Linked DNA regions of Kluyveromyces lactis. The protein of the gene in region 2 interacts with the protein of the main gene of each other region in a biochemical or structural test. Links are inferred from orthologs where the notes say so. Each region holds a gene or a part of one and is shown on either strand. Other genes may lie near its edges.

Region 1 (3,579 bases), on a different chromosome or scaffold from region 2:
GAGATAAGGAATCATATCGTGTTTCAAAAATTCTTGAATCCAGAATATTTCTGGAAGGAAGTTTTAAATACCCCACCGATCTCAATCCTACCAATGAATAATCTTTTAGCGCCTCCATTAAATCCCACGAAACCAAGCCCCATACATTTATTATTGCCAACACCTACGGTGCTGACAATGCGTAAGCATGAACAATTGATAGGCCGGAACGATGTGATGGAGATCAAGTTCGCGGATTACGATTCAGATCTCATCAGGTACAAGGCGATCCTACAACCTTTGAACAAGACCGTTAGAAGTATAAGGTCGAATATTCAAACTTATTCGGCTGTTTTATCTGAACTCGGCGCGTATTTCAACGCGTTCAGTCTAGAGAATAGCGTGTTTCAAGTGAGTGCATTATTTGAACAAATGAATCGTCTATCGATGGGAATAGAGAAGACAGGTCAAGCAATCGATGTGAATTATGTTAGTGCAGAGATATTTAGTGAAGCAATCATGATCAGTCTAGAAGAGGGAAGCAAAGAAATGCTTCAGTTCATTCATGAAGCACAAAGAGTTCTTCACTTCAGAAATTTCAAGCAAGAACAATTTTACACAATTGAAACTACGATAAAGAAGAGGAAAGATAGAATCCGTGAATTGAAAGAGGCAGACCTACAAGCTGTACGATTGGGCGAGGCATTGAAATTAAATGCAGAGGAATCACCCACCGTTGCTCAAGTTATGGACTCCATGACGCGTAAGTCAGCAAACAAGAATCACACGGACAAACAGATAATGGGGCTTTTCAGGTCATCAGCATCTCCAAACAACAAGTCTGGATCTGATTCGATTTCAAGTGAAGTCGAACCTCATCTTCTAACTAAAGACGAACGGGTTGTACAGGTAAACAAACTAGAAAAGGAACTTGAAAAACTGAATGAATGTTTCAAACTCATCGAAAAGGACTTACAACAAGTCAATGAGTCAATGGATAACTCTTTGAATAACTTAGAGAAATATTTCCATGAGAAGTGGTTCCTCATTTTCCGCGAACTAGCCCACAATATAACATCATGGTTAAAGGATTGTTCAGAGTCTTGGAAAAATGCCAAACAGTCTATAGATAGCATATAAAAGGTTTATATCTCAAAAAGAAAGGCATGAAGTATTGCATTGAACTACATTATTTGATGATGAAAGTGCAGATGGAGATGATTTGCTGTCACATATCTAGTTCATCCACTTCTCACAGCATTTGTTTGGAGAATTGTCATTATTAACGACTTTCATGCTTCGATTGACGTTTTGTAAATATGAAATATATAGATCGATACACCTTCTGAAATGTAAGGTGGCGAACAGAATATTAAAGATTATAGATTAAGGCATACATCGCACGACTAACAGCACTTCAGCAAGCTTAAATAGTCAAAATATGACACACGAAATTGACACCATATTATCTACATTGAAGCAGGAAGTCAATAGTGAATTGGCCCCATTATTCGACGATTTTGAAGACTTGTATGAGAGGAAGCTATGGCATCAGTTAACTGAGAAGCTAGCGATTTTTTTCCATGATAGCAAATCAGAATCGTTCAGACTTCGCCTTTATACCCAATTTGTCAGTAAGTTCATTGACAAGATAAACCAATTGAATGTTGTTGAGTTTTTGTTGCAAGCATTACAAGAAAACGATGACACAGAAGAATCATTACAATATCTAAAGGATCTTCAAAAGGAATTCAAAGAAATTGATGAAAAGAAGCAAAGAAACGATGGTTTAAAACCTCATGTAAATGGGAACTTGTTGTTAGATATTGAGATTGCTCGTGTGAAATTGGAAAAGGGGGACCTAGTTGAGGTCAGAGACATCCTAGACGCTATTGGGAAAACACTTGATGTTCAAGATTCGGTACCTCTCAGAGTTACCGGTGCCTACTACTCGTGTAACGCTTCCTATTACCAAGTAAAGAAAGACTTCAACAATTTCTATTATACCAGTCTTTTATATCTCTCAACAATCACTTCGGAAGAACAACAGCAGCGATTGACACAACTCGAACAACAACAATTGGCATACAATTTGTGCATTGCAGCATTGTTAGGTGACAATATCTATAATTTCGGTGAACTACTTCAGCATCCAATTATTTCAAGTATTTCAAACGATAAAGAATACGAATGGTTATTCAGATTCTTGAACGCATTAACTGAAGGGGATTTCCAAAAGTTTGATCAAATTTCAAAAGAAAGAATTCCCAAGGTACCAATCTTAGCTCAACATGAGTCATTCTTGAGACAAAAGATTTGTTTGATGACTCTAGTAGAAAGCGTGTTTGCAAAGTCTATCAGAACGTTGTCTTTCCGCGATATTGCAGATGCCACATTTTTACCTATCGACAGTGTTGAACATTTAGTAATGAGAAGTATCAGCTTAGGATTGTTGAAGGGATCAATAGATCAAGTCCAACAATTGGTTACAATTACGTGGGTTCAGCCTAGGATCATCAACCAAGAGCAAATTAAAAAAATGAAAGATAACTTGATAAAATGGCAAGATGAAGTGTCGAAATTGGGTAATAAGATTGAAGGAAGGGGTAAAAGTATTTGGGTATAATGCTTAAGTATCGTCACATATTATATACTACGTACATCCGCTTAATATCTATGAAAAACGAAATCCACCAACATGTTTCATTGATCGGTTTGAATTTCTGAAAGAGTTAGACGATATATCTTGGAGTTTGTAATATACAGGTAGATACGTAACACACATAGTACTCGAATGTAGTAATTATACACATATGCTATTGTATCGTTCGAGAGCAAAATGGGTCAAAGAATGTCATATAATATAACCGTATGATGCTGAGTGATATGCTCATTTGTTCAACCAGGAAGTAAGATTATTAGGATACACATACGTCACGCTACGCAGAGATATCCCATGTTATGAAAGGAATGGGATAAATTGTAGGGAACAAATAAGCTGTAAGATAAGATGCAACAACTTTGAAGGTAGAAGTAAAGAGACCTTGGTATTGAAATAATGGGTTTAGAACTTAGTTTTGAAGTAGTTTTTCTCTTCAAAAAATACTATATCAGTTTGATCAGCGAGTTCTTACAGTTTATCATTCTTCTTTCTTTGGTTTTGGCTTAGACCATTCTGCGTGTAACATGAAATTCATGAAACCTCTGCCTTCCAATAATTTCAAAGCTTGAGCAGCAATTTCTTCAGTTTGGAAAGTAACGTAAGCAACACCACGGGATCTACCAGTTTCTGGGTTCTTGACGACGAATACTCTAGGAATCTCACCGAATGGGAAGAGTAATTCTCTTTTAAGCACTTCTTCATCTGCAAGTTCGTTAACCTGGGTCAATCTAATAGTCTTTGCATCATCACGTTCTCTTTGGTCTTGGTAAGCATTAGAAGATGGATCACGAGCACCAGCACGTAGGGATGGTGGCACGTATCTGCCAGAGCCAGAGCCTCCTTGAGCGCTCATATCTCCACCACCGATAGCCGGGTCTAAACCAGCAGATGTAGTAGGTTTCTTTCCCAAAGTGTCTTTGTACGGACAATGCATGGTG
Region 2 (3,316 bases):
ATTCAATGGCGAAACAGAATACCATACCAAAGATTCCATCAAAACGTACCGTATATTGAAGCATCCTAAATTCCTAATACTTCATTTCAACAGGTTTGACAAAGGCTTCACTTCCATTAAAGATAGAAACAAAACTCTAGTAGAGTTCTCTGAAAAATTAGAATTCAGTGGTGTACACTATAAATTACTAGTAAATATCACCCATGATTGCGTAATACAAATGAAAATATCGGATACAGAAGATTTGTTAGCCAGCAGATGGAAAGTACACCTCGCTGATACTTTACGCGACCAATGGTACGAGTTTGATGACATTGAAGTGAATAAGGTTGAGAAAGAGTTTCTTTTCCTTAAAGAATGTTACATTCAAATATGGCAACGCGTTTAGAAACTGCTTTCGTTATTCAGATTATCTACACTCTTGGATCGATTCATCATTTCATCGGCTAAAACTTATCTCGCAAATTGAAGTTGATGTATTTTTACTGTATGTAAGATGGTTATTTAATAGCAACAGAGTTAACACCCGCTGTTAATACAGATACTATATTGTCTTCCAAGAGCTTTTCAGCAGTCTCTGCAAGATGTCTTTTTGGATCCTGTTTTCCTACATAACGCGTTTTCAATTCTTCTTCACTCAATTCTCTCTCTTCCTCAATTCTCTTAGTGAATTGTTCAGCGATCTTAATCATTTTCTGAGTTTCACCCAAGTTGTGCTCCTCTCTTTCCTTGAAATCATGCATTTTTAGTCCCGATTGCCATTGTTCCTTATGTAGATTCATTAACATGTTCATTTCGGCGGAAGTCTTGTGATAATCGATATTAAGCGAGTAATAATGCCTATTTAGACCATGAATCAACGCTTGAATATTCGGTTTGTTGATCAACCCGATATTAGAAGTATTTTGCCTTGGTTCCTGGTTTCTCATGACAGTAGAAGGGTCAATTAGTCTGAATGCATCAATGACCACTTTACCCTTCACCGATTGAATAGGATCAACAACCACCGCCACAGCCCTGCTGTTTAATTGTTCAAATGATTTCTGAGTATTCACATCTACTGAAGATAACCAACAACCAAAACCCGGATGTGAATGGTACCATCCGACAACCATTTGATCTCTTCCTGTTTGTTTTAACATATCCATCATCTTAGCTTGAAAAACATCATCAACAGCCTCGACAGAAACACCTGTACCTGACTGAGGCATGGCAAACACATCGACAACGTTTACTGTATAATCATCAACAAATTCTCCCAACATAAGACCCATGACTTCCATTGGAACACCAGCTCTCCCATGTTTCAACATCTTCAACAATGCAAGAGAAGAAATGTACACAGTTTCCTTGGTGTCATCAAGGGGAACCTCGGTGGCATTGGCACCCATCATGCCTGCTCTTTGAGACATCATCATTCTTTGTAAACTTTCCATCTTTTGTTGAAGGATTTGAATTGCGGAGACGATAAATTGGCTTTTGTATCAGCGTTCTGTTTCTTGATATAATACTTCCTTAATAAAGTACCAACAAATTGAAATTCTTATTCTTTCCTGAGAAGTATGCAATTGTCTTGTAGATTTCAATTACTGTGTATCTAATACTGCTAATAATGACTTATGGATACCACACGTACAGAGATGAGAATTCTTGACGAATTATCTGCTTATACCTTTATCAATTGTAAACTGTTTGCCACTGCATTACAAAGTTACGATCTTTCTTTTGGCTTATGGATTTAGTAGTCATTATTAACGAACATCACCACTTTCTGACCTTCAGATATTTAACCTCTTTCTTCCCTTTAAAAATGAGATGAGACTGGAGTACTTCTATGCATACATGGATATCTCATATACAAAGCGAAGCTCCATGGTCTAGTACAGTCAAATACTCGAGAGCACGACTTGTTGAAGAAAATATTCCGTTTTATTGACGCCGAAGATTTTAGAAATAGGAAACGATTTCTTACATTATTCATACTTTGTTCCCAGTCCTTTGATAAGTGAAATTACGAAAGATTATCAAGACTTAGACAGGAAAACTTTACCTATCGTCACGCTTTTTTTATCAGTTTGATCCATCATCATAATTAAACTTTGAAATATTTCCTAACATATGAGTGAAGGACCTTCTGCTCTTCCTGAAGGAACGCATACCGTCACTGTTACGGAGGTTCCGCAGCTGCTTCAATTGCGTGCTGGCCAGAATGAGAAAAACAAAACTAAGAAGAAGGACACCAAGTCTAAAGTAAGATGGGATGAGAAAGTAATAGATAATGAGAACATGAACAAGAAGAAAACTAAGATTTGTTGCATTTTCCATCCTAATACCCCATTAGAGAGTGATGAAGAAGAGGAAGGAGAGTGCGAGCACGATCATAATCATGGACATGATTCATCGTCTTCATCATCTTCGTCTTCTTCAGACGAGGATGAGGGAAAAAGCTTTGACGAAAGAAGAAAGGCAAGACTCGAAAGGCGGAGAAAAAAGCTTGAGCAAAAACGTCCACCAAGTCCGAATGCATACGAAGTCCAGCCAGATTACAGCGCTTATAGAGATAAGAACAGAAAAGACGCTCAATGATTTAGGAATTTGATCAGCATACTCTTTCACTTCTTGTACATTTCGTTGCATCTTCTACTCACTACAACAATGCACTGCTGAAAAGGTAATTGGCAGTTCAAATGTATATATATACATATGCATATATAATCTATCAGGCAATTATATCGAATAACAATCGACTTACACATGGTTATTTTATTGTATGCTATTATGGTAGGACGTCTGGGTTCTGACATAACTCAGGTGCTCATAAATGAGAGCTCTGCTACAAACCAACTTCTATATTGATTAATATGCTGTAAGTTTCTCTTGGCATTTTGTATTGAATCATACCAGCATAAATCATACAATTTTTAGCAACACGTTTGAGAGAATCGATTTGCTGCTTTTTAGTCAAAGATTGGTAATCACTTTCGTTCAACTGCTTTATGATGTTAGAAATGCATAGCATTGTAATTATCAACAGGTTAGGTATGTTCTTTAATATATTCTCATCCAAATGTGTAAATTCTTGTGCTCTTTTTCTGGTCGAGCTTTCATCCGTGAACGGAATTAAATCGAGATCTTCAATCTGTTGTAGGGTGTTTTGCCATTGGCGTGCTAGGAATGATGCTCTTATATCAGCTAGTTTCAACAAGACAATACATGTTTCTTTGTTTCTTGCCTGAACCTTTTTAGAGATTTCGATGTTGTTGATGTACACTTCGATTAACTTCTTTGCCATTAAGACGTAATTCGTTTCGCTGTT

The links.
Region 1: the proteins of RPN11 (region 2) and RPN9 form a complex in vitro, tested with the Saccharomyces cerevisiae proteins (2 studies listed by BioGRID). The link is inferred for Kluyveromyces lactis from reciprocal best matches to the Saccharomyces cerevisiae genes RPN11 and RPN9.

What each region holds. Positions count from the first base shown.
Region 1 is NC_006038.1:62,864-66,442, forward strand, and holds RPN9 (proteasome regulatory particle lid subunit RPN9), read left to right. Parts: upstream 1-1,420; coding exon 1,421-2,605; downstream 2,606-3,579. Other genes in the region: SNX41 (Snx41p), read left to right, coding at 1-1,119; TIF35 (translation initiation factor eIF3 core subunit g), read right to left, coding at 3,120-3,579. UniProt on the Saccharomyces cerevisiae protein: Acts as a regulatory subunit of the 26S proteasome which is involved in the ATP-dependent degradation of ubiquitinated proteins.
Region 2 is NC_006041.1:1,251,380-1,254,695, forward strand, and holds RPN11 (proteasome regulatory particle lid subunit RPN11), read right to left. Parts: upstream 1,437-3,316; coding exon 501-1,436; downstream 1-500. Other genes in the region: mRNA splicing protein SAD1, read left to right, coding at 1-388; type 1 protein phosphatase-activating protein YPI1, read left to right, coding at 2,119-2,586; linker nucleoporin NIC96, read right to left, coding at 2,834-3,316. UniProt on the Saccharomyces cerevisiae protein: Component of the lid subcomplex of the 26S proteasome, a multiprotein complex involved in the ATP-dependent degradation of ubiquitinated proteins.